Linked DNA regions of Notamacropus eugenii. The protein of the gene in region 2 purifies or fractionates together with the protein of the main gene of each other region. This does not show direct contact. Links are inferred from orthologs where the notes say so. Each region holds a gene or a part of one and is shown on either strand. Other genes may lie near its edges. The genes, in order: POLR2C, INTS6 and INTS11.

Evidence for each region.
Region 1: the proteins of INTS6 (region 2) and POLR2C purify together in Homo sapiens (affinity purification with mass spectrometry; 3 studies listed by BioGRID and IntAct, with this or other methods). This does not show direct contact. The link is inferred for Notamacropus eugenii from reciprocal best matches to the Homo sapiens genes INTS6 and POLR2C.
Region 3: the proteins of INTS6 (region 2) and INTS11 purify together in Homo sapiens (affinity purification with mass spectrometry; 3 studies listed by BioGRID, with this or other methods). This does not show direct contact. The link is inferred for Notamacropus eugenii from reciprocal best matches to the Homo sapiens genes INTS6 and INTS11.

Annotation. Positions count from the first base shown.
Region 1 is NC_092872.1:475,144,368-475,151,997, reverse strand, and holds the start of POLR2C (DNA-directed RNA polymerase II subunit RPB3), read right to left. Parts: upstream 3,083-7,630; 5' UTR 2,984-3,082; coding exon 2,898-2,983; intron 2,749-2,897; coding exon 2,699-2,748; intron 690-2,698; coding exon 621-689; intron 492-620; coding exon 439-491; intron 1-438. UniProt on the Homo sapiens protein: Core component of RNA polymerase II (Pol II), a DNA-dependent RNA polymerase which synthesizes mRNA precursors and many functional non-coding RNAs using the four ribonucleoside triphosphates as substrates.
Region 2 is NC_092876.1:104,426,994-104,434,841, reverse strand, and holds the start of INTS6 (integrator complex subunit 6), read right to left. Parts: upstream 3,083-7,848; 5' UTR 2,546-3,082; coding exon 2,435-2,545; intron 2,111-2,434; coding exon 2,033-2,110; intron 1,392-2,032; coding exon 1,242-1,391; intron 1-1,241. UniProt on the Homo sapiens protein: Component of the integrator complex, a multiprotein complex that terminates RNA polymerase II (Pol II) transcription in the promoter-proximal region of genes.
Region 3 is NC_092876.1:34,734,445-34,741,853, forward strand, and holds the start of INTS11 (integrator complex subunit 11), read right to left. Parts: upstream 3,057-7,409; 5' UTR 2,972-3,056; exon of another isoform or gene 2,823-2,971; intron 1,574-2,822; 5' UTR 1,513-1,573; coding exon 1,485-1,512; intron 1-1,484. Other genes in the region: CPTP (ceramide-1-phosphate transfer protein), read left to right, coding at 5,462-5,583, 6,702-7,224.

The DNA.
Region 1 (7,630 bases), on a different chromosome or scaffold from region 2:
TTTAGCTGAGAATCAAGGTAATAGGCTCATCTACAGAACAAAAGCTTCTAAAAACAGAACTAGTATAGCAAAGTATTTTATTTATATTAGCATAAATTGTCAATAATGTTTTCCCCTACATCTTCATCCTTCACTTAGTCCCCTGCCTATTCCTTTATTATTAGATACAGATGTCTTCCCATATATCTAACCAACTCCACAAAGACAAACTTATTGCTTCCTAAAGGATAAACAGAGCAAGATGTTATGACTGTTCACTTTTTCACAGCAATTTGGAATTAAAGAACATGAGATGGTTGAGGGGAAATGGGGAGAGTGGAATGAAAAAATTTGAGAATTACTATGATATAAAACTGGACAAATGAATACAATCTAACAGCTTGAAAGGATGTTATCAAGGAAAATACTCTCCAGTAATCAAACTGAATATAATCTTACCCTGGAGTTTTGCAGCTTGTCTACAATGTCATCACTTGTAAGAGGGATTAATCCTAGAAAACACAAAGCAGTGTTTCAAGTAGGTCAAAAACCTTTCAGAAGTCAGGTGGTTTCTTCTGATAGCTTTCTAAGACACAAAATGGCAGCCCTTCTCCCCTATTCCTCCTGAACTTAACACTTACCTAGTCTGTGGGCAATGAACTCATCATGTAGCACCGAAGAGTTAGCATCGATTTGGACCCAGTCTATGGCTTAAAGGCCAAAAAAGAAAAAAAAAAGAGGCAGGAATGCCATTGAGTCACAGAGCTCACATAGAAGAGGCAGGGAATCAAGCAGGCTTTTGTGCTGGCCCTTCAGAGAGGAAGACCAAAGGCTCCTCATTATATCCCAATATGGGCCATATTGTCATTTGCAAGTCGGGCAGCACTGAAATGAACTGGAGGCTGCCTTTGTTTCAAAGCTCTCTAGAAACTGTCCCTATACTATGCACAGAGCACCATCCAGCCTTATTGAAACCTCTCCTATGTACTCCCTTTACTCTATCTAGAGTGGTCTCCTCGTTATGACCTTCATAATCCATGCTTATATGTCTTCATTTTATTTTGTTCATATTATAAGACCCAGCTCAATTACGACCTCCTGAAAACTAAGACCTATAATGACCTCTTTTATCCAAACCATATTTCATTTAATGCTTGCATTATACATTTTGGCACTTTTTAAGTCAGTCTGTCAAGAAACATGTATTAAGTGCCTATTATATGCCAGACATTGTGCTAAACACTATGAGCTTAACTGTTAAATAAATATGTATATTAACTGTTAAAAGTTTAAGGAAGAGGCTATCATTGTGGACTACAGTGACTAGGGAATACTTAATGGAGAGATTCAGGCTGATTTAGACCTTGAAAGAACAAGATTTGGTTGGCACGGAAGAGAGGTGAAAACTGTAGATCATCCCATTGCAGAGTCACAGATCACTAAAGCTGGGAAGGAACCTGAAAAATCATCTGGTTGAACGCCATTTCATTTTTTTTCATTCTCCACTTAATACTATGTAAATTAATGTTTCTAATTCAAAGTAGGACAGAAAAAGAGGACATGTGAATTTCTAATATGTACAGCCTGCTTTTCTCCTTTTTTCCTGGTTATTCTCCTTGCTTGGGTTTCCTTTTGTTCTTTTCTGTGTATTTCAAAACAGTGTTTCAAAGACAACCTTTTTCTTTCTTTTTGGTAACTGTACTGCCATCCCTCTTTCTCCTTCTTTCACCTTCTTCTTCCAAAGTGGAAAAAACCCCAAATAAACCCTTTTAACAAATAGTGAAATAAAACATCTCTATACGGTTGCTACACACACACACACACACACACACACACACACACACACACACACACACACACACACACACACACACACACACACACACACCCCCCCCCTAGTCTTTCTCCAACTAGTTTGTACTTGAGATACTGGCTGTGTTTTACACTTTCGGGGGGATGAGAAGGTATACCACAGTGCCTAGTCAGAGCCCAACGTTCAATGAATTGTTTCAATGCGTCTGATTAGGCATAGCGTAGACAAAGGAATAAAAACAGTCTGAGAGACTCTGAGCTTGATAAAGCTTTTTTTGATACCTCCAGTCACTACAGAACGCCTCCCACCGAAATCTCTCCCCCTTGCTGTTTTGACAGCTCCCAACTGTATTGCAATCTGGACTGGTTATTTGTATAGTATCCTCATCTCCCTCTTCCAAGGCTTGCCCTGGTAACTTCAAAAGCTCCTAATAACAGTTAACTGACAGCTGGACGGCGACTTTAGGGTTACCGGGCACCCACCGCACGTACGCTATCTGACTTCACCCACCATAAGCAGCCGGCGTCACGCTGTGAGATGAATCCTCCAACAGACCCCGCCCTCCAGGAGCCTGAGACCGAAAAGGGGGTGGAGACAACCAAGGGGGGGCTGCTGTTTTACTCAAGAGTGTGAGGAAAAGGCTGTAAGGACTCTGAGGAGGGCAGAAGAACCCGATATCACGGCGCAGGTAGCATCGAAACGGGACCCCGGTGGGAGCAGGGGGCAGCTGGGAGGAGGAGGGCCAGGGACAGGTCAGTCTGTGAATAAGAGGAGCCGCCCGCGCCCCGGCTTCCACACCGCCTCCAAGTCCCCTCCCTGCGCCTCCGTTTAGCCAGCTGCAAAGCGGGAGAAGGGCGAAGGCGGCGCCCACCCAGGGCTGCCAGGGGGCACGGCAGCCAGGCTTACCTATGATGGGCACCTCGGCGATGAAGACCCTGCGGATGGAATTGGCCACCCTGCGGGGAGGAGGGACCAGAGGCGAATCAGAGGGGGCCCCAGCCCGCTCCTCCCCGGTCCCCGCCCCCCCGGGGCGTCCCCGCCCCGGCCCCTTCCCCAGAGCGCTCTCCCGGGACTCTCCGGGCGCCCCGGGCGGCGAGCTCCTTACGCCAGGTCCGTGTTCTCGATGATGAACTTGACGTTCTCGTCCGTGAGCTCGGTGATCCGCACCGTGGGCTGGTTGGCGTAAGGCATCGCGACCGAGAACGGCCCGCGGCCTCCACGCTCGGCCCTCGGCTCTGCGTGCACCCGACCACCCGCGCGCCGCCGTGACGTCACCGGACGCCGGAGAGAGGCGCCGCCCCTCCCTTCCCTCGCTCCCCCTGGAGCCCACAGTGCCCCCTCGGCCTAGGAGGAGGAACTACAGAAGGCGCAGACGGGATGGAAGTGGGAGGAGAACTCAACCCCGCCACGGAGGTCTTCGATCGAGCAAGGGATTTTACGCGCGCAGTCCGACTGCCTCCTTTCATAGACAGGGAAACTGAGTCACAGAGAGGGGAAGTGCGCAAGGTCACACAGCTGGTAAGGAGCAGTCAGAACTGGGACGCGAATGGCCTTGACGCCGCGCTGCTTCGCTTTCAGATGGCTGGTGACCTCATCACTTCTCACACATCCCAGTTACCGCTCCCGGGCCCAGACATCCAGCCGGAGCCCCCCTGCTGAGCAGCTGGCCCGTGGCGTGGGAAGACTGGAAGGGACCGCTGAAGTCCCTGAGTTCAATCAGTTAATCAGCATGAAGTCAGACATTTCAAAATCGATATCCTATATCGATTATACACGTATACACACATGTGCATACACAGATACATACGTGCACATTTATATGTATATGTCTATACATACACACATATGTATATGTGTGTATGTGTCTGTAATATGTATTTTATATATATAATGTAGGCTTCTCAAACTCAACAGGTCCAAAATAGAACTTTTAATCCTTTTTCCCTCCCAAAATCCACTCTCTTCCAAACTTCCCTAGTACCACTACCACCACCATCACCACCACTACTACTACCTCACCTTCGATCGCTGAATGGGTGTTGCCTCAGACAAACCTGGGAAAACCCACTGCTTCTGGGGCCATCCCCTGGAGTCCTGACCTATGCCTTGTCCCCGCACTCCCAATGACTGGAGGAGAGAGTGGGGCTGATGACTTTGCACAGCTCTGCCTCACTTGAATCAAGTCAAGACATCATCCTCTTGGAGAATGATGAACGACAATAACAATCCTAAACCATAAATATGACAAAATCCCTTTCCTGCTTAATAAACTTCAGTGACCCCTATTACATCTAGGATCAAAATACAAACTCAGAGCACTTCTATACTTTGAGATCTTGGGGGCAGGTGGGATCAGGAATCCTACTTGCTTAGGTTCCAGCTGTTATTGTCTAAAGCCTTTTACAACCAGGCTTTAACCTACCTTTATAGGCTTATTATATATTACTCTTCTTCATGCTTGCATTCAATGATCCAGTTAGGCTGCCCTTGGACTTCATATTTAACATTCCCACTTCTTTCCTTTTGCCTTTTTACAAGATGTCCTCTAGGCCTGGAACTCACCACCTCTACCTCTTAGATCTCTTGCTTCCCTCAAAGGGTACTAACCCTGAAGATCACACAGGTTCTAAGCGGCAGTCAGGATTTGAACCCATCTTTTAACCTGCAAATCCAACACTTTCCACGGCATCGTGAAGCTCCCTCATATACATGTCTCCCCTAATAGATTATAAGCTCCTTTCATTTCACCTTTACATCTCTATTGCTGAGCACTGAGCCTGGCACAAATCAGTCAAATAGCATTTAAGTACTTTTTAGGTGCCAGGCATTATACTAAATGTAGTAAAACAAAGAAGGGCAGAAAACAATCCCTGCTCTCAGAGTTCACAGTGTAATTGGGGGGAGGGGGTATGTGTGTGAAGGATAGCATAAGATAGAATGCAATCACTTGTATATGTATTGGGGTTTGCTTTGGCAAGAAGGACCACTTTATGTGAAACAGGTGAAGGAGAAGATAGTGGCAGAAGGTATTTGAATGATGTGAAATAAGGAAGACAAGAAAGGATTGTTCGTTGTGAATGGTCTCAATTTTTTCAGTGACATGTGAAGCAAAATTCTCAAATGAGAGGACGAGGGAAGGATAAAAATGCTTGGAAAAGCCAGGATTGTATGGGATGATGCAGGATTTATTGGGAGTGTTCTCAGAGAGAAGGCATTAAGAAGGACTGATAAGGGCAAGAGAGAGACTAAGGCTGGATATTTAGAACTGGGAGTGATCTGTCATAGGGATAACTAGAAGCTTTGATTAGTGATGAGGTGACCAGTTATACATGGCAAGACCATTGGGGTTTAAATTCTGCCTGCTACTTACTAGCTGTGTGACTTTGGACACTTCCCTTCTCTGAGACTCAGTTTGCAAGAGCAAAAGGTGAGATTTAATGCTCAATTTATTAACAGAAAGGGGACCACACAGTTACCATTTGCACTGCTGTGTTGTGGTGTTTGGGAGGACATCATTCTTTAAAAACAAACCTTTTCTCTTTAACTTAGAATCTTTTATTTTTTTTGCCTGCCTTGTGGGTTCTATTATGTACTGCTGGTTTTAATGTATCTTTTCATTTTATTATGGTTAATAATCCCACATTAGGATTTTAAAATCTTGCCTTTTTATATCATTTGTTTCTTTCCCATGTTTTTTTCTTTTTTCTTGCAGCTTTTGTGTTGATATTATCCTTTAGAAGGAAAGATTTCCCCTCCCATTAGAAACAAAACACCCTCTGTCCCATACTCTTTATCAAAACAATACAGAAATGACTTGATCTTGCTTTTGTATTATAAGTGCGCTGCAAGACATTTGTAGTAATTATAAATTTTACTACTCTGAAATATGACTTTTTATTTCTAGTCATTTATTGAGCCCCAAACCATTGTGATCTAAAGTTTTCTTATTATATATGTAAATCCAGAATCAACTGACTTTGTGCAACAGAATTAAACTTTTGACTTATTTAAAAAAAAAAAAAAGGTGAGATTTTGGTGAGGCTTCAAGGAAGCCAAGGAAGCTAGGAGGTGAGGTTTGTGGAAGGGTGAAAATGTTTGGAAAAGCCACTGTATTGAGTGGGATAGTGAATGGGTGGTGTTAAAGGATTGCCTTGCTGCTATAAGGGCCCAGTTGAAATTATGTAACGTTAACCTGTAGTGGACCCAGTCAGAATCCTTTCATGATTTTCTCCAGCCTTGTTCAGCAGCTTATGAATAGGAGCACAGGCAGTGGATGGTGGGAATGATTCAAGGATGAGACTTGGTAGGGTAAATGGATGAGAGGATAAAGGTGCAAGGGATCTGAGAGGGCAGCATAGGGTTGAACTGGTTTGTCAAGAGCAAGGGAGTATAGCAGGTGCGGGGGTCATGAGTTGGGAAAGAACTAAAGGATAGAGGAATTGGAGGTCACCGTGAAGACAAAGGAAATTGGGTTTGGAGTTGCAAGGCAGAGATAGGATGACAACAAATTATGATCAGATAAAGGAATTTTATTTGGAGTTCTTGAACATGGATATGGAACACTTGTGATGGCAAGACCAAGGTACGGACCATCTCCATACGTAGCTGGGAGCAGAGGACATAGGTGCTTAATAAATGCTTTTTGATTTAATACTTACCTGGTAGAATTCCCTCTATATGCCCCTTAAGTTGTTGTCCAGCCTCTTCTGTAAAATCATTGGTGATGAAGGACTTAGAATCTTTCATGGCAGTCTGTTCAAATCCTAAACAGCTCTCATTCTCATTTGTCCTTATACTCAGCTAAAAATCTGTCTCTTTTAAGTTTCATTCACAGTTTCCTCCTAGTTCTCTCTAGGATTCACTTGCAGAGATCCTTGACCAGCTGGTGCTACAGCACAATTCAAATGCCACCTCATCTTTGAAGCTTTCCCTGATTCTTCCAGTCTTAGCAATCTTTTTTGGGGGCACTAATTGGCACTTTTAATGAACTCAGTCTTCAATATTTTGTGTTAAAATTATGTATATGAATCTTACTGTCCTGATGGGCTGTGACCTGTATGTGGGAAGGGACCATACCTTATAACCAAACTGGTTATCCTTTTCAGAGTGCTCTGCACATAGGTGATTAATAAATATTGGAATTAGGAACTATGAAGACGCTAGGGCCACACTGGAAGCTGCAGTACCAACCATTTACTTGATCCTCTAGTATTGGCCAGTCCCTTAAGGCCATTGGGGGCTCTAAAATGTCCCATAGGCACACAGAACTCTTTTCCCATAATAAATTCCTTTTTGACAAACCTAAATTTTATTTTTTTTAACCAACAAATATTTCTTATTGTTTATGGTATGTGTAAGGCTCAGGGGTGGGCCTAGGCCCATATTGTGGAGATATATAAAGAAACATACAACATAAGTCTTAATATGCTTTTAAACTTTAGGGATGGGGAAGATGCTGCTGTCAATAACAAAGAGTCCAGAAGAGCATCCGAAGTTTAGCACTCAAAAGGACCTTAGGGATCATCATCTAGTCGAACTCCTTCATTTTCCAGATGTTAAAACTGAGGCCAAATGAGGTTATTTGCCCATAAATACACAGGTAGTAACATAAGACGTGGGACTGGAACCCAAGTCTTTTTGATTCCAAATTCAACACAATACACCATGCCACGCTGAGAGGCCGAAAGAAAAGGGAGAATTTGGTTTTATACACAGATTCATTGAGCTTTTAGTGTTGAAAGGGACCTCAGAGATCATCTATTCCAACCCCCTCATTTTATAGACAAAACAGGCCCAGAGTAGAGAAGTAACTTGTCTAAAGTCACAGTTTGATTTTGA
Region 2 (7,848 bases):
ACACTAACGTAACTAGGCAGAGAGAGGATTCTGAAACAGTATATTACATTGAAGGCTATGTTCTCAAAATTCATTTTGAGGTTGATCTTTCCAATAATTAGCACAGCAGCTTTGTAAGAACTGCATATCACTTTTCCCTACGGGGATACCAAAAAAAATCTTATCTCAACTGAATTCAGGTATGCTCCTTCTCCTAGAGTAAATTTAGTTTGTAAGAAGCAAAAGTGGGAGAGAACAGTCCTACTAACTGGTAGTCATGGTTCAAGGGAGCTGAGTGGAGCAAAGGCAGATATTTAACTATAACAGATCCCTGTGGTAGGAGTGGAATGTACTTCCAGGTAACAACTGAACCTCTTGGGTCTCAGGCAGATCTTTTATTTCTCAGGCCAACAGTCTCACGGAATGTTTTAATGGAGCAACTTGATTACTCCATATTGAACCATCACGCGGATTAGAGAATGATGTTGCCAGGCTCCAAAAGAGGTCTTGTCTGATCCTCAAATTGATGAGCAGCAGCTGTAATACAGGGACTTAGGGGGAAAGGGTTCTTCCATAGCTTCCAGAGAAACCCAAGGGGTTGAATAAAAAAAAAAAAAGCTCTTAGGAAAGAGCAAAAACTTTTTCTGTCCTCTGGACCTAACATTTTTAGTTCATTAACAGCAGTAGAAGCCAATTCTGGATCCTTCAAAAAGAAGTTCAGAAATCCTAGTGTATTCAAGAGGTTGAAGTCTGCACTTAGGTGAGAGTGTACTTTTCTTACCCTTCAGACAAGAAACATACAAGGAATGGATAAGCACTTGTGCAGCAGATGGATTTCCCTGTTTCTTTATTGACTAGCAGAATGAAGCAAGCCCCTAAGCCCCTACTAATGCCTGTGCCTCAAAGTCAGCCAACAGTCGTACGTATGAGCACAGTCGCACCATAGTAAGCAGGTGACAGTAGGACATAACACAGATTTCCCTGCTCTTAATCACAAATTAATGTCAGTATTCTTCAACTGTACTAGGGCCATAAAATGTCAGCGTCTTAAATAAGGAAGTGAAGTTCAGAAAACAAAGGCTTTTTCACGAATAACATGAGGGGACAGAACTGTCCCTAATGTGTGCATGTCTTCTCGAGTTAAATCTGCTTTGAGAGGAGGTACATTTGAAAATGTCATATTATGGAAAGTTTGTGAACTGGAACGGTCTCTTCAGAAAAAAGGAAAATGAACTAGTTTCCCACTTGAATATTCAACCTACCTGCCCATAGTTGTCTATGCCAGTTACTAATCTATTTAAATTTAACAAATCAAAAGCTGTCCTTAGGGATTGGCCAAGAGTCGTAAGTCCTTCAGCCTGAAGGTTTTTCAGTTCATTCATAAACGTGGCGTGGTTTTCTTTCCATCCAGCCTGCAAAGAGAAATGCACAATGGTTTATTTCCCCCCCACGACGGGCCTCGGGGCGCTCCTGGGGCCGCTGCCCGGGGCCCCCGCGGGGCGCGCCTGGGGGCGCGGCGGCACCACGTCCGGCGCGGGCGGCGGGCGGCTCGGCCGCGGCTCCGCTCCCGCGGGCTCCGCTCCCACGGGCTCCGCTCCCGCCAGCCGCGCGAGCCCCGAGCTCCCTTTAAAGCCAAACTTGAGCCCGAGTTGCCGCCGCCGCCGCTGTCACTTCGCTAACTTGAACACACATCCCCCACAGTGCCTTGCTGCCGCCGCCGCTCGCAGCACACGGGGGGAAATGTCGGCCATGTTGATAGCAGCGCCGCCGCCGCGGGCGGCCGCTCCGGCGGCGGGCAGGAGGTCGCGGCGCGGCCGCTCCTCTTCTCCCGGCCCCACGAGCATCGCGGGCGGGGGCGGGGGGCCGAGAGACGGGGAGAAAAGACGCCGGGGAGCGGGCCCGAGGCCGCGGCGGGGGGGAGGGGAGCATAATGAAGGGTGAATGGGGCGGGGGGAGGGGAGCAGGGCGAGAGAGGAAGGAATAAGGAAGGCAAGGCTGGGCTAGGCGAGCGGGGGAAGGCGAGGGCGAAGCGGGGCCGGGCGGGGGCCCTTACCTTGATAGCGTAGGGAGGCTCTTCGAAGGTGACCAGCATATACCTGTCTCCTCGGCTGGCCGGGTCCCGGGCACGGAGCTGCGAGGGAGCGGGAGAGGGGGGAGAGAGAACAGGGCGGGCGGGGGAGCACACAGCCCGGGTTACGAGGCATCCCCGCGGGCGGACCGAGCCCCCCCGCTCCCCACCGTGCAGCACACACGCAGGGCCCCCCCCCACCCTCCGGAGCCCCCCGCCCGACCCCAGCGCCCGCCCGCCCGCGGGGGTGGCGGGAGGGGGGGTCCCCACGCCGGGCTGTTCCCGCAGCCGGGTCTCCCCCACCCCCTGGCCACCCCCCCACCCCTGATCGTCCGCTCCCCGGGTCCACCCCGGCCGTGTTCGCCAGCTGGCTCGGTCAGTCGGTACCTTCATGAAGGTCTCTACCGCGCCTTTGGCCGTGTCCAGGTAGGTGGTGCCCAGATGGCTGCGCTGGTTCATAGAGGCGGACGTGTCTATCAGGAACAGTAAGATGGGCATAGTGCTGGCCGGGGACACCGGGGCCCGAGGTGGTGGAGGAAGAGGAGATGGTGGTGGTGGTGGTGGAGCTGGTGGAGGAGGTGGAGGCGGCGGCCGCCGCTACGTGGGGCGGGGGAGCGCGGCCCCCGGGAGGAAAACACGGTCGGGGGCTCTCCTCCGGCTGAGGGGAGTTTCTCCCCGGATAGTTGAGAGGAAACTCCCCTCGCCCCTGGCCACCCCAGCAGACCCCCACCTCCTCCTTCTGCCTGCCGGCTGGGCCGGACGCCCGGCCGTCTGTCTGTCCGCCTGCCTGACTGTCCGTCCGTCCGTCCACCCGCCTCGGGGGTCCCGTCCCCGCTCCCGGCCCCTATGTGTGTCCCAGCGGGAGACGGGCCTGGCTCCCCACCCCACCCCCGGCGCAGGGAGTGGGGACTCGGGAGCTGGCGAAGAGGGGGTTGGGCTGAGGGGGGGAATTGGCCCTGGGGCTGTTGGGAGAAGTTTCAGGGACTCCCCCCGCTCCCCGGCGGTGTCACCACTTTCTCGGCCCCTCTCGCTACTGAAGCGCTTTTCTCTCTCACACTCCGGTTTTAACTCGGGCAGGGGCTCCTCGGGCTCCGCCCCCCTGACACGTCCCCGTGCCATGTGACACGCCGCCCCGCTCTTCCATAGGCTGAACACTGTTCCCTCATTAGAATATTCAAACAGCAGAGGGGCGGGGGAAGTGGGACGGTCGGCTCGGGGGACAGTTATGGAGCACGCGCGGAGGCGAGGCGCCCGGGAGCGCGCGAGAGCTAGCGAGAGAGCAAGCGGGCTGGTGGGCAGGCGCGGAGGCGGGCCCCGGGCAGGCTCCGGGAAGGGGCGGAGAGGGGCGGCCGGGTGGGGGAGGGGAGGCACGCCGGGGCTGGCCGGGGCTGTGAGCCTGCGCGGCGGGGCCAGGCGGCCTCTCTCCTTGGCTGTTGGAGGTGATGGGGGTCGGGGGGAAGATGGAGGTTGGGCCGAGCCTCCCTCGCCCCCTCCCCCTTCTCCGAGGTGACTGAGAGCAGCCCGCGGCCTGGGAGGCGGGTGATGAGGGCGGGGAGTGGAGCGGGGCAGGCACTCAGGGAAGGGAGGCAGGGCCGCTGCCGCCGCCGCTGTCGCGGGAGGAGTCAGCTCCCTAGGGCCCCAGCGGCAGGCGGATCCCGGGCCTGGGGGAGGGGATCGCGGGGCTTGTTTGTGATCAGCCATCAGTCTCCGCCCCGAGCCCTGCTCTTTCTCTTCAGGCGCCCCGTGCCCGTCGAGGGGGCCCGACACCCGGATGGAGCCGGCACTTGGCCCGGCGTCGGGGAGCCGGCCCGGGCGAGGCGGGGCCGGGCCTCCTCGGGAAGGTTTTCGGGGGCTGACCCCCGGGGCCTCCCCCTATTGTGTGTGGCAAACCCCGCTGCGGGGAGTGGTGCGGAGCCCGAGAGCAGCAGGGTGGGGGAGGCGCGCTCCTCATGGCCGAACGAGCTCCCCTGCACGCCCGCCCTTGGCGCGGCGGGGCCTTGTTTACCTGCGCGGGCCTGCCTCGGGGCCCCCCGGGCACGGCCGGGCCCTGACCGGCCTGGCCCCAGCCCCTCGTACCGAAATGGAACCTGAACGCTGGCTGTCGACAAACAGCAAAGACCTTTTTCCCCGCAGTATCACACGGGTTCGGTTAAGATTTCAGCCTCATGTTTGTGGCACCTCCTGTTTTTGTTAAGTAGAAGCTTTAGGACGTAAACTTTCTTCCTGTTGTAAGATTTGGACCTCAACCATTTTGTCAGTTTACAGTGGCGCTCCTAAGCCTAGGCACTGCGCCATTGTGCCTGTGAACTACACCAAGCTGAAGGCAAAAGTAGCCTTTCCCTCCAGGACCTGGTGGTGTAGTGGAGAAGATGAGACCTATTGTAGAAATGAGTGGGGTCGTCAATACAAAGGAGGGGTTCGGTCCGGGAGACCGTTTCTCCAGGGTTACATCTGGGAAAGCTTGCTGGCAGAGATGGTTCTGACCCGGGTCTTGAAGGGTGTCATGGATGGGCCTGAGATAGAATTAGTCTCAGACGTGAGCAAAAGCATTCCTAGTTAGGAAAGTATTGAATGAGGTTAGGGAATGGCAAGAAATTCAACTTTTGTTGGAATGGTAATGGCTCACTTATATAGTTCGAGAGTTCCAAGTCGCTTTCTTCTCGACCCGGTGCAGAATGTGGGCAGTGTGGAGAGCATTCTGAGAAATGACTCAAAATTAAATGTAGGGGATAAGGGCCTCTTCATCCTGTGAGCATAGAATCCAGAATCCAGATTCTAGAGTTGGGATTCATAGAAGCCACATGTCTTATTGCTTCCTTGCCCCTCCTGTCTTAAAACCTACAGTGTTAAGAGCTAAGAACTGGAAATACTCAAAACAGGCAAAAAAAGTCAGGGCATTGGTAAAGAAAGTCGGAGTGAACAAGGCATCAGCATAATGGGCAGCCCAGGCAAAGATGGGTTTCGGTACTCTCTCCGTTTCAGAATCACTTTCCCTCCTCTTCCTCCTTCAGTGTTCCAGGCCCATTCTCATCTAGCCTTTATCCCATTCTTAATCTCAGCCTTGTGTCAATGAACTCTTGCTGATAATACCTTAAGGAGGGGTGGGGGATTTGAGGGAATGCAGAAGAGAAGCTTATGACAAGGTGACATGTACATCTTTTTTTTGACATGTGCTTCTTAAAAGGTTCAGATTTGGAGAAGTTTTAGAACCAGTGGAATGAGACTATAATAGTGGAATGACAAGTAGTGAGGTTTTGAGATATATCCCCTTTCCTGGTCACAATGACTAAGGTTTTAGAGAAAAGCCAAGTAGTATCTGATGTAAGAGCCTACCCCCTAAAACTGATAAGGGCTAGTTAAAAGTAGCCTAGTTATTACTAGGAGTAAATAGCAACTTGGCCTAGTACTTCTTTAAAAACTTGCTGATCCTTGGTTTAAATAATGTTCCCAATTATGGAAATAAAATTAGCTAGAGTTAGGATCTAATGAATTAGACTTACCTGCAATGGCCCACAAGAGCCATTATAAATTACCATAAGTCAATCAAGTAATGAACTGGAATATACATAGGTGCTAAGATCTGAGTTTGTGGCATTTGAATATGACATCAGAATCATAGAACCTCAAAGATGAAAGGGACCCCAAGGCCAGTTAATTCAACCCACACCTGATTGAGAAACCCTGTCTACAAAATTCTCAACCAGTAGTCTTCTAGCTTTTGCTTGAGAGAAAATTCACTACCTCATGAGGTAATCTGTTCTACTTTGAGGTAGCTCTTAAGGCTAGGAAGTTTTTTTTAAAGGGACCCAAGATCTGCCTTATGAAATTCTCACTGGGCCTAGTTCATCCCTCTGAGGCAAAAAACAAATCTAATCCTTTTTAATTAAAAAAAAAAAATCTGACCACAAAAAAAATTTTTATACACAGTACACAAATGGGGGGATTTATAAGAAACCATGACTCTTCTGCTTGCTTTTTTAAAAAAACTTGTCATTTTAAATTTTCAAAACTTCCCTTATCTCTACTTCTCAACTCCTTTCTGTTCTCTACATTTAAAAATGTTACAAGGGCCCTTTTTTTGGCATCACTATTGCTAAACCTCTATCCCCACGAGTTTCCTGCAGCCATTACCCCATTGTCAGATAAATAAAAGGAGAAAGAAAAGAAATTGTAACCAATAAACATAGTGAAGCAAAACAAATCTATGCACTGTCTATTTAAAAAAAAAAAAAAGTCTTTCTGTACTTTGAGTCTATCACCTGCAGGCAAGTAGGTAACATGTTCCATTTTAGGTCTTCTGGAGACATGGCTGTTCACTGCATTGAACGGAGTTCTTAAGTCTTGCAAAGTTGTATTCCTTTGTAGTGTCTGGCCTTGTTTAGATTGTTCTGGTTCTTCTCACTTCACTGTGCACCCAGGAATCTCTGAGACTATTATTCCTTGTATATTTTCTTATAGAATGCTAATCGTCCATTAAATTCATATACCACAGTTTGTTCAGGCATTCCTCAGTTATGTAAAGGAAATCTAAGACAAATGTATCAACCTTGTGGCCTGTGGGCTGCAAGTGGCTGCACAACTCCCAAGCTGCCTGAACCAGATTAAAATATAATTGAGAAATGTTTAACAAAATAAAAATGTAATACAACAGAGTTAATGTTAATGGGGGAGGGCTAGTTAGTATATGACCAGCAGGGAACCCTTTCTATTTTAGTTTTATACTACTGATCTGAGGCAACCTCTTAGAGTCTATTTCTTTGCTTTCCTTCACAAATGAGGAGTTTGTTCTGCTTTTGACTATTGCTTCTCCAATATTAACCTTTCCCAAACACCCTTTCTCTATCCCTGCTTGTTTGTTGAGTTTAATGGTTTCTACACCAAGCCTTGTGAGTGTGTATTCAGTCCTCTTTTTTTCCAGTTAAATGAGGTTCATCTGATGACCACTGCCCTCACTTTTTCTATTTACACCCCTTCTTCCTTGTTCCTCTGATGTTTTTCTTCTTTTACTTCCTTTCCCTTTCTCCTCTTAGAACACTCAAAACAAAATCAATCCACTCCCAGGATGACTTTTTTGTCATTTAACTGTCTTAATCTGTTTTAAAGACATTGATGTTCTGAAGGTACACTTGTTTTCATTGCCCCTATCAAAATGTTAACACTACATAGTCGTATGGATCCTTCCAATTGCTTGACTAAATTTCCTTTGGAGGTTTTTTTGGACTTAGTTTGTATTTCGAAGTTCCTATTCAGCTCTGATCTTTTCATCAGAAATGCTTGTAAAGTCCTCTTCCATTAAAAGTGTGGGTGGTTTTTTTGTGGGGTTTTTTTATTGGTCCGTAGGATACTTGGTGTTACAGAGTAAGTTCTTTGTCATGAGCCTGTCTCGTTTTTTGGAATATCATATTCCAGGATTTCTCATTTTATAGTAGAAGCTTCTTGATTCTGTGTGAATCCTAACTATGGTTCCTTGGTATTTAAACTGCTTATTTCTGGATGCCTGCAGTATTTTTTTCCCAAACCCTTTGCCTTGTGTCCTCCAATAATGTGAAATCACATCTTCTTACACATGTATAGTGTAGCATATAGCACCAACAGGCTTGCCTTCAGGGAGCTACCCCACCTGCAATAAGTAGAGATATTGTAGATATATTAAAAGTAACATGCAATTTGAGCTTGAGACCACTGGAGTAGAAGACCTCTAGGACGCCAGGACTACAGATGTAGAGGCTGGAAGAGACATCATGTCTTTCAGATATGGAAACTGAGGCCTAGGGAGATGAAGTGCTCAAGCACACTCAGGT
Region 3 (7,409 bases), about 70 Mb from region 2:
GTGAGCAGGTGAAGACTGGCAAGGTTCCTTTCTTCCAGAACAATGTCCTCTCCCTCAATGGTCACAGGACAAGGTGTTTAAAACCACCACCAGCTAAGTGAATGACTACAGATAGTCTAACACTGTGACTTTGTCTGCCCCCTTTTCCGCCACTGTCACTAACACCACCAGATGCCAAAGGGGACCCCACAAGGCCAGGGGCTCCTGGACGTTTTCCTGCCAGACTGTGAGTTCTACCAGGGTCTCATCTGGACTCCATATCTCCCCCAGCACCTAAGCCAGATCTCAGATTCACAAATCTTCGGGAAAGGAAGAAGACTGCATGACTACTGATGAATGGAAACTGAGAAAAAGTCCAGAGCACAGCATCTTCCTATTCAAAGGCTGAAGACTCCATATTAGTAACATCTGGAGGGACCTAAGAGGCCAAAGACCTATAAGTATCAACTTTTAAGATGCTCAACAACCCAGAGAATCAGCCTAGCAACGTTTCTGTTTACAGGATTGTGTCTCAGAGAAGTCCCACGGTAGGTCTCCACTCTACACCAAAAACACCCCTGAACCTTTAAATTGCACATTCCAGGCCACTCTGGAAACTTGGTTGTGAGCACCCCCTGGTGGTAGGCTATGGGACCCAAACCATATCAACTCCTGTTACTCTGCATGGGGTCGCCTCTCCCAAAGACAGACTGTGATGCTGTTACTGAGGATCTGGACTATGCTCTTGCCTCCTCCTGAAAGAACAGGGAATGAGCTCCTACTTCATGATGAGTGACACATCCATTGCCCCCCACAAGCCCTCTGCTCCAGAGAAACCAGAACAGAACTTGCTACCTCCCTTCCCCCTATTCTCCAGCCCATCCCCCTGCTCTAGAACATAGTCCCCCATTCTCCTGACCTGATATAGCCTCCCCACCTTCTCAACAAATCCAGCCCACCCTTCAATTCCCAACTCACACCTTACTACCTCCTCTAGGAAGACTTCTCTGATTCTTCCGGCTCCCAACCATCCCTCTCTCTTTCAAATAATCTGTCCTAAAATGTTTGACCCCCAAAATAAATTCTCTTTCACTCTCCTACATACGTTTAGGCTAATTTCTCACAATACCAACTGTGTCTCTCCTGAGGGATGGAGAATTCCTTTTTACCATGAACCAAAGGAAAATATTCAGAAAGAGAACCTGCTGCCTATAACACTGCCCACTCAAGAAAAGCATCCATGGGACTCTGTGTAACTGTACCACACATGGCTCCTCCATCCCACCCCCCATCAGTGGGCATGGCAAAGTGCTCGGTTCATACTGATATGAATCATACTGATGGGAACAGAGCACAAAATAAAGAGCTAAGCTGTGATTGATGTATTCTCTTACAGAGAATATTACAGCTTTTAAGTTCATCACCATAACATTTTGTTGACCTGATGGTATTTTCACCAGAAAAACTTTTTTTTTTTTAAATCAAACTTGCTTCTTTTAACTTACCCAAGGGAGTGACTTTAATCTCTGGCATCTTGAGTGGCCAAGTTCTCAGTACTTCATCAGGCTAGATCCAAGACACCATAGAGCAGTACCTACAAAGCACGGGTTTTTGAGATCACACAGGTACCGTTGGTCTGGAAGTCATAATTTCTAAAAGGAAATGGGCCAACCCAGAAGGCTGTAACTTTTTACAGTGATTATGAATAGGTGGTGAAAAAGGGACACCACCATCCCTAAAACTGGGCAAGGTTTCCTCAGCTCTGGTTACTGGCTCTACGCCAAAGCAGTGGTGGTCTAAGTCTTACCCTACTGTGACACAACAGTATACTAGACAGAGGTCTCTGGGGGGGGAGAGCATGCTAGGAAACTAAGGTGATAATGACACTCTCACTGTCTTAATCTGGACTTGGGTCAGGAGGCCTGAGTTCTAGATTCTAAATCACATGACCCTTCTTCACCTGTAAAATGGGATCATCAAAATTGTACTGCACAGCTACCTTGGAGAATTTATAGAGGGAAGGAACCTTAGAAATTATCTAGCCCACACCCCTTCATTTTAGAGAAGGGGAAATTAAGGGCCGTGGGAGTTAAATAACTCACCCACAGTCACACAGATAAGCAGTAACAGAGCACAAGCCTTCTGAGTCTGGCATAGGCTGGACCAGATGACTTCTAGAGACCCTTCCAACTCTTAGAACCTAATTCCAAATCCAGTGTTCTTACCTATACATTACACTGCCTCTTTACATGGCTGTTGTAAGGGAAGCATTTTGTAAACTGTTGGAGCTACAAGTGTTTTTCTGCTTCCAAAATCAATTTGTAAAAAAATTGAATAGCCATCCCTTAGCCCAGTTGCTCCTGCCAGGCTGTGGCTTAGGAGTATCAGCTGCAAAAGCTACTTCCCAATCCTACATAAAGTAAGGTGGTATTATACAAAGCACAAGATTGGAGGCAAGGGGCCCAGGTGTGAATCTTGGCTCTGCTACTTAGCACTTGTGTGACTCCAGGCAAGTCGTTCTCTGAGCCAGGAGATGGGTCTCTAATCCCTGCGCTGACCCTGACCCCTGACCCCTGACCTGGAGCAAGTTCCACAATCTCTCGGGGACTCAGTTTCCCCTCTTGTAAAGTGGGGCAAGAAGACGAGGAGAGGCGAGCCCGTCTAAGGTCCCTTCTAGCCCCCGAAGGGCCTCCCCCTGGGCTCCCCTGCATCCCCACACCGTGAGCCCAGGCCGGCTCTGTCGGGAGACCCCAAGGCCGAGCGCGGGCTCCCCGTCCAGGAGGCGCCCCACCCCCAAACCCAGCCCTGCGGGGCAGCTGCTCGCCCGCGGTGACGTCACTCGCCCGCATCCCGGCGGACGCGCTCACGGCCGCCCACCCGAGGGGGGCCGGTCCTGAGCAGCAGGCCGCTGGGAGAAGCGGGCAGGTTGAAGAGGGAGACTCCCAGACTCCCTCGAAGGTCGGCAGGGCCCCCGCTGCTTCCCTCTCCCCACCTCAGCCCTCCACGAGGCAAGCCGCGCAGGCTTCCGTACTCCCAGCCAGTCCCGAGGCACTGCGCCTGCGCGGGGGGCGGGGCCAGCGGCGAGGGCCGGAAGGCACCCCGCAGGCGCAACCCCGGCAGCCTATGAGCGGCCTTCCTGCGCCCGGGACCTGCCCTCCTGGGCCGGCCCTCCCTGCCGGCCTTCCATTGGATTCTGTCCCAGTCAATCAAGCAGGGGCCAGGACTGGGGGGCGGGTCTTGGCTGTGATTGGAGGGGACTGAAGACAGGCCCCCAAGAATCTGCATTCAATGGTAACGCCGGTGAGTAAGGTGCAGGTGAGGGCGAAGGGGTGGGCCCGGGGGGGCCGGGGATCGGGGAGCTGTAAACGGACGTCGGGGGTGCTGGGGCGTGGGATGGGGGCGGTGGGGTCAAGGGTCATGAGTACGCCCTGGGGTCCCCCGGCGCTGCGGGGGAGGGGACCCCGGTGTCCGGGTCACGGTCCGGGGGCACCCGGGGCTCGGGTCCTGCCCTGACCGCCCCCCCCCCCCCCGCCTCACTCTCTGCGGGACCTCCGGGCCTCAGTTTCCCCATCTGTCAAATAGAGCGGGTGGGACTCCTCCTTTCCTGACTTTGAAATCGAAGGGCATAGACTTTAATCTTGAGAACTGCATTTAAATTGTACTTATGCTGAATATATATTGTATATAACCTATGTATGTACCGTATATACAGTATATATGTATGTACTATATATGTGTAGATGTATTCTGTGTATGCTGATATGCCTGTATGGTTCCTTCTGTAATGTGGGTATTTTATACACAGGAGGAAGGGGTCCGTGGGCCTGATTTTCTGCTATTCTTGTGTTTTCTTTTCAAGGATGTGAGTCCAGGACCCAAAGGCAGTGACAGAAGAACCAGGAGTAAGACCCTGAGATCCCCTCCCCTTTGACCTTCCCCATCTGACCCAGGTATGTATGGCACTGCTGTATCGCTGTGGTTGGGTTGGATTCCTTCCGTGGGGGGGACAGGGGGACTTTCTCCAGGTTGCTCTGTGCTGAGTCAGACTCTGAAATTTATTTTTGCCTGTGGTAAGTGTTCAATAGACACGCTAGATGAGTGGAATGGGAGCCGGGGCCAGCATGCTGAACCCCGGACCGCTGCCGTCTAAGAGCCTTCGGTTCTGCCAAAAGTAGAACTCCTTGGAGAGTGTTGAGACTCTTTGTTTCTTTGGCTGCTCTTACTCAATCCCTCCCCGCCCCCTTCCTTCTTCCTGCTCCAATCTTCATCTCTGACCTTGAAGCTCTGATAAATAGTTTATGGCAGAGTATAAACATAGCAGAGTCAGAGTGATGTCTGATGGGAGTACTGGCCTTACTTTGAGAAGTTGAGCAGGCCCATCCATCCTCAGTTTGTAACCTCAGCTGTTCAGCCTGCTCAAAACAGTTTAGTTTCCTCTTTTCTCAGTATTATATAGCAGACTGTGGGGCCCAAAATGATTAAAAAGTCCTAACAGCAATTTCCTGCTTGCTGCTGGTTTCATTCTGTGTCATGAGAAAGCACAGGGCTATTTAAACAACAAATTGATATGTCGTTGACCGATAGACCATCTGAGCTGGAAGAGACTTTAGTTAATAGAATGTCAGAGTTGGAAGTTACCTTAACGGAACATCTCATGCCACTCTTTCACTTTACAAATAAGGAAACTGAGATCCAGAGGGAGGAAGCAATCAACAACTAAGAACAAATGAGGTATCCTAACTCCTAGAATCATGATCTTCCATTGGCCACCCTCAGTCGTCTTCAAATCCTGGGGTCCTCAACTCTTCAATCCCCATTCCTAAATCTGATCCCATTGTTGATTTTAATCATTCGGGCAGCCATTGAGGGTCATACTAAGTGCCAGCTCTGGGTTCAGGACCACACTGGGTGCACAGGGGCATACAAAAATATAAGATGCCATCTTCCTTTAAAGAGCCCCTAGTCTGGGGACATGAGAGCCACCCACAGCCAACAACCTGGAATGTTGTAAGCAGATCTTAGATCTGTGGAAGGCTTACAGCCATAGCATGGATGGTAGCCTCCCTCCTCTCCTTCCTGCCTTCACTCATCTGAATAATTCTATTCTGTCTCCTGCTTTGCCTGGGAAATCGGCTTGGGGTCCAGGATGGAAATATGGGACAGATAAAGAATCCAGGGCCTGGGAGATTCCAGGGTAGAACCCACCTTCCAAGTTAGCCTCTCCCATCTCAAACCTGTCCAGTCACTGACTACTGGCAGATGTGTAGACTCAGTGAGTAGGCTGTGTTTGCCAAGGTTTCTTGGGAGCCCAACTCTGCTAGAATAGGGCATTTCTATCCTGCAGCAACTTGGGTGAGTAGGAGCAAGTGTTAAGAAAGACACCCCATTACATCAGGTCTGTCATCCCAGCTGGTCCTCCAAAGCAGACACGCACCACCTGATTCTCTGGGGACCTTCTGTGTGTTTCAGGTTGTGGTGGACTATGGCTGACGAACAGGCCGAATTTAACCTGAAGGTCGTGCTGGTTGGTTTTAAGCAATGCCTCAATGAGAATGAGGAGGTCCTCATGGACCCTTATATTACCAGTTGGAAAGGGCTTGTCAGGTGAGTGTGCAGGGGCCACTCTGTGGATCCCCAGGAGGGTTCCTACATGATACATCAGGCCTGGAGTCAGGAAGACATGAGTTCAAATGCAGCCTCAGGCACTTACTCTGGCTGTGTGATCATGGACAACTCACTTAATCTGTGTGCCTCTGTTTCCTCATCTGCAGAATGGGTATAGTAATAGCACCTACCTCCCAAAGTTGTTGGGTGGAACAGATGAAATGATCATTGTCAAGTGCTTAGTCCTGTGCCAGGCACAATGTTATAGAAATGTGAGCTCACGTCATCCTCATCGATGTTATCATCACCATGACCATTATTCTCCCTTTTATTTGAGGAGAGTGCACATGAATGTCCAGCAACTTGTGGGAGAGGGCGGGACCAGACATTGTGGAAGGGCAGGCTGTGCTGGAGCAGCAGACAACTTGTGTGTGAGGAGGCCCTGAGCACATGGAGGGGGGGATCTGCGTGTGATGGGGGTGGGCACAGGGCCACACATGAATGGAACAGGACTTGCTAGGCAGCAGTTTCACATTCCTTAAGTCCTCATTCCTTACAAGCATTTTACAAACACCAGTGACTGGATTCTCCCATTGGCCCAAGAGGCCTGACATTTAGACCTTCATGCAGAGGCCCCACGATGTGCCCTCCTGGCACATTAGCCACCCGAGGGGTATGGTTGGGGCAACAAGGATTGATACACGATCTGCAAAGAGGAGATGTCACCCTGTTGTCCCAGCAATACCCTCTCTGGCCCCCAAGCAGTCACTGGGAAAGGGAAGCAGCTGCAAGTTTTGATTTTAGAAATAGCGTGTTGCTGGAGAACTTAAATGACCTGTGTCCCTCCTAGAGATCCCATCATTGGTGTTGGTGATCCACCCTCTGAGAACCAGAATACCTGGCTTTGCTTCAGCCCATTCCCTCCCTGATTGCTTCAGCTGATTCATGTTTCTGTAGCAATCTGGCCCAGGGAAATCTCCCTGGATCATACCTTTGGCCTCATTACTCCCACCACGGTGGGATGTGGCATCTTTCCCCATTTGGGGGCCCCCTTTCAGAGAGTTACCACAGCAGTCTCCCCCAGATCAATGATACTTTGTTTGGTCATGAAAATGTAGGTTCCTGAACAACCTTGGCACCATCTTCTCCTTCATCTCCAAGGATGTGATGACCAAAATCCAGATCATGGAGAGGTTTCGAAGCAGTGATCAGAAGGAAAACTACTCTAGCCTTCAATCCATGGTGCAATACGAGATCGACAACAAACTGGTGGACCTCCAGAAGCGCTCTGAGCACCCCGAGTCTGGCTGTCGCACCATCCTGCGCCTGCACCGGGCCCTGCACTGGCTGCAGATGTTCCTGGAGGGACTCAGGACAAGTCAGGAGGACTGCAAGACCTCAGTCCTCTGCACAGACTCCTACAATGCCACCCTGGCCTCCTACCACCCCTGGCTCATCCGCAAAGCTGTGACCATGGCATTCTGCACATTGCCCAGCCGCAAAGCCTTCCTAGAGACCATGAATGTGGGTCCCCCCGAGGAGGCTGTGGAGATGCTGAATGAAGCCATGCCCTTCATTGGTCAGGTCTACCAGATCACCCAGAAACTCTTTGAGGAGCACACCCTGCTGGACCTTCCATAGCTGAGGGGAGGCCAGGCCCCAAGGTGACTCTCCTACCTTGGATACTAGATAGAGAAGATACAACCAAAACCTGTTATCCAGCACTCACTGATGCTTCAGGCTCTACTCAGAACTCCCTTGGTTTCTCTTTCCCTACCTTCCACCAAGCTTGGACTTGGTTGTCACTTGCTGGGAATAGGTATTTG